2 linked regions of the Schizosaccharomyces pombe genome follow. Changing the gene in region 2 together with the main gene of any one other region gives a genetic interaction. Each region holds a gene or a part of one and is shown on either strand. Other genes may lie near its edges.

Region 1 (5,017 bases), 760 kb from region 2:
TAAAAATGATATTACAAAATATATGTATATATAGTTTTGCTATTCAATCAGTCATATATTTAAAGGTAATTGACTATTACAGTTCGCATATTTAGGAAGATCAAAATATTCATTTATTGAGAAATGTATAACAACGAGTATCTGAGCGGATATCGTGGCACAATTTTAAGTAGAATAGGTTGCTTCGAAACGAACAGTATATTATTTTTGCTTGCTTAAAATTAATTAAACAGTGTACGACTCGGAGCATAAGCATTTTAATTCCATTTATTAATTTTCCAAATTTCCTAGAAAATAATAGATTAAAAAAAAATTCATTAATTTATTTATTGCTACAAAATCAAAATTTTGATTAACTTATTATTTTTACTTTATTTTTTTTTATTTTTTGTTTCAAACTTCATTGCAGTATTATTGGCAACAAGCACTTATATTCAGTTTCAAAACTTTTTTTATTTTATATTCTCGAATTAATTTATTTATTTTATTATCACGCAAATACAAAATTAAACTATTCATGGTGAGAAGGTGAATTTTTTATAACGTTGCTTGTTTTCAGTAGCGTTTTCGCTAATGTTGACTTTAAAGTCTGTTTTAGAAATTTGGATTCCACAACCAATCTCGTATATATCAATAAAGAGAAAAGCAACATATTATGATTGGAAATTTTCTTTTAATTTTCTGCAAGAGAGTTCTTACCTTCCATTATGGTCTTCAAGTCCTCAGGGCATGTTTGAATACTAGTCATTGCCCAATTCCCTGTTTTGTAGTATTATATACATGCGTTTGAGCCAAAACTCACACTGCATAAAAAAAATGATATTCTTTTCTTCAACCATAAATATTATTATTTAACACAACAAATGTCTACGGCCATACCTAGGCGAAAACACCAGTTCCCGTCCGATCACTGCAGTTAAGCGTCTGAGGGCCTCGTTAGTACTATGGTTGGAGACAACATGGGAATCCGGGGTGCTGTAGGCTCCTTCTTTTCTTTTTTTTTTGTCTTTTAAATCCAGTTTACTTTTTTTTTTTATATTATTTCTATATGGCATGAAACTGGTACAGTGGTACAAGTTGTACATCTGCCGCCGGTTTTTTATCCAAATTTACCCTCTATTTACACTTGCATTTTCATCTGCCTCGATCACTCTATCCATGACAATCGCCTTTTCCAACTAATTTGCCTTTTCGCGGGTATCTACGCTTCGTCTGGAGTATTATCTACTTCCGTTCTTATCCTCTAATTCCACACACACTTGCTTTCCGTACTCAAATCGGTAACTGACATGGCAAAAATTAACACATTTATTTCGTCTTAACCCACTTTCGGCATTTTTCAGCTGCACAAAAAGGGAACAATTTCAAAGAATTTAGACACTACCAGCAGGTATATGTGTGTAAAATATTATAATTCATTGAGTTAATACAATTTCCTCTATAAACTCGCATTCTATTCATAGTGCTTACTCCCATAAAACTTGTTATCCCGAAACCATATCTCCTGTTACCTTTTACAGCCGCACCACGATCGCAATTTATTTTAAGGTATTAAAGCCCAGTGCGGAAAGTGCCTTTTACGCAGCTATATTATCAATGGCGACCCGCTATCCTTGCCAACTCCCATGCTATCAAAGTGAGTATAAAGGCAGCTAAAACCCTTACACCTGTCTTATCGTGAACCAGAAGCTGTATGAACTTACAGACGAGTACAAATCAAACAATTGGTCCCTATGTCATTCGATCGGAAATTGGACGTGGATCTTTCGCAATTGTGTATAAAGGAAAGCACACGGTAAGTAAAAGAAGCAACTGCTTGTCTGTTTCAATGGAATTTGGTGGCTAATCGTGTTGCAGGAAACGAATCGAGTGATCTCTATTAAAAGCGTATTGACAAAGAAGCTTACTAAGAAACTTTTGGAGAATTTAGAAAGTGAAATTTCAATCCTTAAAGAGATCCGTCATGTGCATGTTGTGGAACTGATAGACTGTATTAAGGCTGGGCGGTTCATTCACCTGGTCATGGAGTATTGCTCCCTAGGAGATTTGAGTTATTTTATTCGAAAGCGAGAAAAGTTTAACAGTATTCCCTCCTTAGCCTGGATCAACATCGATCATCCGCCAGTTTACAAGGCTGGATTGAATGAGACGTTGGTTCGGCATTTTACCCAACAACTTGCTTCTGCACTCCAATTTTTACGATCGCGTTCTTTAATTCATCGAGATGTCAAACCCCAAAATCTTCTTTTACAACCACCACCCACCGCTGCCTATCTGGAAGAGCATCCCCAGTTTGTGGGAAGTCCCAAGCTACCAATGCTTAAATTAGCAGACTTTGGTTTTGCACGTTACCTTCAAACGTCTAGTATGGCGGAAACTCTATGTGGCTCTCCGTTGTATATGGCGCCCGAAATACTTCGTTACGAGAAATATGATGCTAAAGCCGATTTGTGGTCAGTAGGTGCTGTGTTATACGAAATGGCTGTTGGAAAGCCTCCCTTCAAGGCCCCAAATCATGTCGAACTTCTTAGGAGGATTCAAAAAGCTAAAGATGTCATCAAGTTTCCTGAAGAAGCTTTCATTCACCCGGACATTAAAACCCTTATCTGTGCTTTGCTGAAGCAAAATCCGGCTGATCGTATCGACTACGACGGTTTCTTTTCCAGTATTGTTGTCACTACTCCATTAGATGACGCATCTACTTTGACCGGTAGCGATATTCAAGATGCGGTTAAGGAAATAAACATTCCATCTTCTAGTCCTGCCTACATAACCGATTTTTTCCCAAAAAGTAATCCTGGCGCTCCTGCTCCTCCAGGCGGTTTGTTGCGTCAAGCTTTCCAAGCTCAGGGGTCTAGTATTCAGCCCTCTGAAATTACCGGTCGAAGGGTGCCTCATCGCTATGCACAAGATGGAAACACTTTACCATACACCCCCGTGTTTCCTCCTGAAAGTGCTCCTGCTGCTAGCATTTTCCCTCCTCGATTAACCTCTAAGCAACCTATACCCATGGCATCTCCTGCTAAGTTGACAAGTGATACTTCGAACAAAAGTAGCGCCTATGTCGTAGTGGACCATCATCCCATAATCTCTTCTACCCAACTTTCCAATGAAAGCCTAACCCACGAGCAATCAATCAATGGTAACTCGCCTTCACCAAACGAAGGTGTTTTTCAAGGTAGTTTCTCTCCTGAAAGCGCTCCTGTAAATAATCATGCGTTTCCCCATACTAGCCGGATGCAAATCCCTTACATGAAACCCAATGCTTTCCCTTCTAATCCTACCTACATTGCTTCAACCCCAGTCACTCAACTACGTCGTGCGTTTGAGCAAGCTACAGCACATGTACCTCAATCTGGAGGTGGTGCGCGAAATAAAAGCGCTCTAGAACGAGCACTAAATGTTGCAAACGCTAGGCTTAATGAAGTTGTAGTGGATGGTATGACAGATAATGGAAACACATCCCTTCCTACAAAAGAAAGCAATTTGGATAACAATGTCAACATTATCCAACCTTCCTTACCTGACACCGGTAAAAGATTGCTTGATGTTTTAGAAAGTATAGCGATGAAATCAAACTCTGTCTACCATCTGGCTGAAGTGAAGCTTGCTCAAATTATTCCTTCTTTGTCTGATGAAATGAAGCCTGGAGATACACTCTTGGATAGACCTTTGACTCCTTTTTCATTGGTTATGTTAGCCAAGGAATCGTATGTACTTTATGAGAGAGACATTGAGCTGTTACAAGTGGCGTTTGACGGTGTTGCTGCTTTTTGGGCCAACTCTGAAGAACGTGCATCTCCTGATTGCCAACAAGCCATTGAATGGTTTCGTCAAAGGTATTCAGAAAGTCTTGAGAAATCCCAATTTTTACGTGAAATTATTATTTCTCAAAGTGCCGCACATTCTTTGCCAACTACCAAACCTGTGTCAGCTTCTCAATTAATTTATCATAGAGCATTGGACCTATCCAGAAATGCAGCCACTAGTGAACTGTCAGGAAATGATGCACAGGCTTGTTTACAAAATTACCGGCTTGCAGCACATTTGTTGGAGTCACTTCTTGAGAGTAATTTTTCGACTCCAGACGGTGCTAACGATTCCAATAATTCAGTAACCATAAGAAATTTGATTGCTTTGATAACGAAAAGGCAAGAACTTTTACAATCGAAACAAATCCAGGCTAATGTAGCCAACAAAGTAACAGAAAGTGTTGCGAAAATAACACTTGCCCCCAATCTTGCTTGAACACCGACGATTTCGCCCTTTTATTGAACAAATTCGCATATTGTATGAGCTGAGCTCTGAGTCTAAATTTTGTTATGAATTCGTTGTTATGACCATATTATTTATATAACTTTTTAATATAGACGTTTTTAATTTTGCTTTTTTTATACATAGGGTTGATAGTCCCGTATATTTAACTCTTATTTATTGAGGTTTATCTCTATTCAAATTTCGTGCATATTATTTTTTTTCTCTTAAATTTTTCAAACAAGTAAAACAGCTATTTAACGTATCAAGGCAAGAATCTAGTACTTTTTTGATTTCCAAAACAAAGATTTGTTTTATACGGCCTAGAGCTGATGACTGCATGAGAGAAACAATTAAACGAGTGATAATGTTTTTGTTCAAACGACCCATAATTTACAAATGTGTGAAAGGAAATTATTGTAACAATACCTCAAGAAATGGCCTTGAAGTCCAAAAGTCATCGTCTATCAGACTTACGTGAAGGATAGATAAAACCATTTTCTTCTTTTGTTTTACGGAGAACTTTTTGTCTTGTTGATGCCATTCTTGATCAATAGGCTAAATTAAATAAGTAAGCAAAAATTAATTTAAACAAAGTTTGTCGAGCATACCTCACGAATCCAAATCGAGCCCTTTTTGTATATCTCTGGTTCAAAATTATAGTTGATGCCGAATTTTGAGAACAAAATTTCATGTTTTTCTGCGCTGACGGTACCCTGTAAAGTAATTCACCCAAAAGGTGAAAGTGGTTAGTTTTTATTGA
Region 2 (4,236 bases):
ATTGGTTTGGGTGGATTTCCTTGGAGAATTCGTTTAAGTGAAACCTTTGAAGGTTTCAAAAATGGCATAGTGAAAAGGAAAATAGAGCTAATTACAAGAGAAAAATATAGTACAGGTTAAAAAAAAGATTCAATCTTAAACACTTTGTAAGTTTTTCAAATGCTTTGAAACAGCTGTCGAAGTTGTAGTCGGTTCCTACAATTTAACGACTAGGTTGTAAGTCTGGGTTTTTTTAGAATTAATAGTAAAGGAATATATTAAATCATTCGGTAAGTAAAGTCAATATAATCAGCTTCTCTAATTAGGAGAACTATTTTTCATTACTATGATAACCGTTTCCCATTCCCTAAATTTACGACATCCTGCGATGTCTGTATATAACTTTACATAGCAGTGTTCCAGTACGTAATATTGTTGAATGCTTGCGTAGAGTAACGACTTTATTAAAATTGGTTATTGCAATTGAATAAGGTAATATAAAATGCCACATTATTAGCACTTTAGGTGTCTACATGTTTCGCTATTTTTTAATGATGTATGAGAGTATTGTTTATACCCAAAATTGTAAGCGCATTTTCCATCCTTCTGCCTATTACAAGAATCGCGTAAATCATGAGAAAAATTTGGGAATTAAAAAAGAAAGAAGCTCAAAAAGAGAAAAATGCGTCAGGGATTAGTCCAGCACAAATCCGAATCCAAAAAGGTGCGACTCATCATGTTGATAACTTTTCGCGATTTACTCGAAACTAACCATTTTCGATGAATTTAGACGTTACAGATTTAGAAATCCCATCTACGATGTCTACAAGCTGGCCAGATCCTATAAAATTGAACGTGCTACATTTAGAAATCCGGCCTGACGAAGGTAAGTTTGTGATTCCGCATGAAAGAATATTTGGTGTAGACTTTTTGAGACTATTATTTTTTATTTTGATTAACATGAAAAGGGTATTACAAGGGTGGGAAATTTAAATTTCGAATCCAAATCGACGATAATTATCCTCATGATCCTCCTAAGGTTAAATGTCTAAACAAAGTATGTCAGTCATGCTCTAAATTAGAGTTGCAGCTTATGGTATATTTTTTGCATTTAAGAAAATAACCATTATAACATGTTTTGAACCCTTTCGTTCTGACCTACTGTTAGATCTATCACCCAAATATCGATATTGAGGGAAACGTATGCCTCAATATTCTGCGTCAGGATTGGAATCCAGTGTTGAATTTGAATTCTATTTTGGTTGGATTGCAATTTTTATTCTTGTCACCAAACGCAGAAGATCCACTCAACAAAGGTAGGTTAATTACAATTTTTTGGGGGGCAATGAACTATTTCTTGTTATTGCATTACAAGGAAATGATTATTCATCTCTTAACTATCATTTGATACTCATTTTTTCTACGATCCTTTATTATGGGATTTATAAGGTTCTTTACTGAGGACAATGATTATGATAAGCAATTTTAATATAAGAAATCTGGTTTGCTCCTTAACAAATTTTCTAGATTTATTTAACTATACTAACAAACGATATCTTTTAGAGGCGGCGGCTGATTTGCATAAAGACCCTCAAGGATTTGCATCTCGTGTGCGTACAGCCATGAAAGGTGGTCTTGTGAATGGAATTTCTTTTGACAATGTCATGGCTTAATTTTTCATCAATCTAAATCAATTCGATAAAGATAACCGACATAGATTAGACGACTGTCATGAAAATATTGATGTGTTTTAAATCTCGCTAAATCAGTCACGATTACGATGAACTTCCGATATCAGTATAAAAACACATAACCAGAACCAAACCCCCCTAATAAGCCCGTAACTGCTTTACAATGTTTCAAAGACGATCACTTCTCTCTGTTCGTTCGTCTGGTTCCCAAATCGCCTTTCGTCGATTTGTCAGCGTAAGTACAAGTTTGTTGATAGAGTATGCATTGTAAGTGCAACTGAACATACGATGGCAAATAATTAGACTATCATCTAATTCTGATTGTTTTCGAGAATTCTGTACTTTGCTCTTGTTTTTAGACAAGTATTGATGTTGAGAATGCTTCTTACTGACCCAACAAAATAAATCTTCATTTGTGCTTTCATACTGCCTCATACAGTACTAATTTTAATATTTCTTAAACTGCTTATTAACCAAGTTTAGCTTACCCACAAAGATCCAACTCCTGATACAACCAGTTGCAATATTATCAAGAAGGAAGGGGCGAATATTATATCAGTTTATGCACGCTATCCAGTCGTAGCTGCTAAAGGTGAGGGCTCCTATTTGTTTGACAAGGAAGGTCGTAAATACATTGACTTCACCTCTGGCGTAGCTGTTACATCTTTGGGTCATGCTCATCCTGAAGTTGCTAGACTTGCCGCTGATCAATGCTCCAAATTAGTCCATAGTAGCAACCTTTTCTACAACGAGCCTGCCATTGAGCTATCTAATGTCATTAATAATTCTTTGGCAAAAAATAGCGGTATTGCTGGCCCCACAAAAATTTTCTTTGCCAATTGTGGTACTGAGGCCAATGAGACAGCCTTGAAGTTCGCTCGTAAGGCAGCGTTTGAGAAGTATGGAGAAGGGAAGAGTCAAATTGTTTACTTTAATAACTCTTTCCACGGCCGTTCTTTGGGATCTCTTAGTATCACTGCGAACCCCAAATATAAACGTGGTTTCCAACCATTACTTCCTGATGTCGTCCAAGCCGTCTATAATGACCCTGCATCCATAGAGCAATTTGTCAATGACAAAACTGCGGCTGTTATTGTCGAGCCCGTTCAAGGTGAAGGTGGTATTTGTCCTGCCAAGCCTGAATTTTTGATTGCTTTGCGCAAGGCCTGTGATAAGGTTGGTGCTTCTTTAATCTATGATGAAATTCAATGCGGACTTGGTCGCAGCGGTGATCTTTGGGCCCATAGTATCGTTAAGGATGTCGCTAGTCCCGATATTATCACAGTTGCCAAACCTTTGGCTAATGGTCTACCTATCGGCGCCACCATTGTCTCCAGTAAGATCGCTGCTGAAATTCACCCTGGTGAACATGGCAGTACTTTCGGAGGTAATCCTGTTGCTTGCCGTGTAGGCACATTCTGTGTTAATGAATTAGGGTCATCCAAGATTCTACAAAACGTTAGAAAGCAACACAAGGCTCTTACTTCACGTTTTGATGACTTTGTTGCCAAATACCCTAATCTTATTCGTGGATATGCTGGTCGTGGTCTTCTTCTTGGTTTGCAATTTACCGAGCCCCCTGCTAAATTTATTGAGCTTGCTCGTCAACAAGGTCTTTTACTCTTACCAGGTGGAAACAACAACACCCGTGTCCTTCCTAGTTTGAATGTTAAAGATGAGGTTATTGCTAAGGGTTTGGATATCATGGAGAGCACTTTGAAGGCTTTAAGTAAGTAAAAGTGTATGTTTTCGTAGACTTGGTCATTGAATGGATTGGTTATATAGTGCGATAAAAAGTGATTATTACGAGAAATCTTGTTCCTCGAAAACATATATTAACCTTGCTCTCATTTGCCAACCAAAAAATTTTTTGATAGGGGGGTTACGAAAAGCTTAGCTGGAAGCTTTACATTGTAAATACTGGTTTTCGTTATTCCCTTTCTTTTCATAATCAATTTTGTTTACATTTTTTGTTAGAAAATTAGATATATATTGTTGTTTTTCATCTACTAAACTGAATTGTCGTAATATGTACCGTAAATACTCTGTCAAATGATAGTAATTCACAAAATCAATGTTTTTTTACTGCGTTTTCTATTACTAACTTTTAAAAAGTTATATAGCAAATAACATTCCATGTTTTCTTTTAGCATTAACTATTTTTTTCTTTGGCATACAATTATTATATCAACATGCTATTCATTCAATTCACATTAGAACGATATCGTTATAAGGAATTCTTAATCAATTTTTCGTTTCTATATTTTATCTTAATTTAAGGCGCACATCGATACTTTAGCAAAATACCACCATATTCAAAAATAAACAAAATTTTTTATCTTTCTAAAAAATATCATTTTTTTAAGTAAGTTTAATCATTTTATAATGATTGAACAATGAATATCATCTCATGCTTATTTTGAAGAATCGCATTTCGCGTAACTAAAAGCAAATTTCTTGGATACCCTCAGTACATTTCCAAAAATATTACTAAAGATGGTAGGGAGGGGATCTTTTTCATCTACCTCGAGCGCCTCATCCATTAATTGGATTCCAAAAAACACTA

What was found.
Region 1: mutations in arg1 (region 2) and atg1 impair growth when combined (synthetic growth defect), as found in Schizosaccharomyces pombe (one study listed by BioGRID).

What each region holds. Positions count from the first base shown.
Region 1 is NC_003421.2:849,281-854,297, reverse strand, and holds atg1 (autophagy serine/threonine protein kinase Atg1), read left to right. Parts: upstream 1-1,615; 5' UTR 1,616-1,693; coding exon 1,694-1,795; intron 1,796-1,857; coding exon 1,858-4,248; 3' UTR 4,249-4,465; downstream 4,466-5,017. Other genes in the region: thg1 (tRNA guanylyltransferase), read right to left, coding at 4,669-4,812, 4,866-4,970. UniProt on the Schizosaccharomyces pombe protein: Serine/threonine protein kinase involved in the cytoplasm to vacuole transport (Cvt) and found to be essential in autophagy, where it is required for the formation of autophagosomes.
Region 2 is NC_003421.2:1,612,495-1,616,730, reverse strand, and holds arg1 (acetylornithine aminotransferase), read left to right. Parts: upstream 1-1,794; 5' UTR 1,795-1,833; coding exon 1,834-1,905; exon of another isoform or gene 1,906-1,933; intron 1,934-2,153; coding exon 2,154-3,407; 3' UTR 3,408-3,684; downstream 3,685-4,236. Other genes in the region: protein Gta3, read right to left, coding at 1-68; NEDD8-conjugating enzyme Ubc12, read left to right, coding at 613-703, 770-865, 948-1,036, 1,148-1,295, 1,543-1,652; Protor homolog, Bit61, read left to right, coding at 4,167-4,236.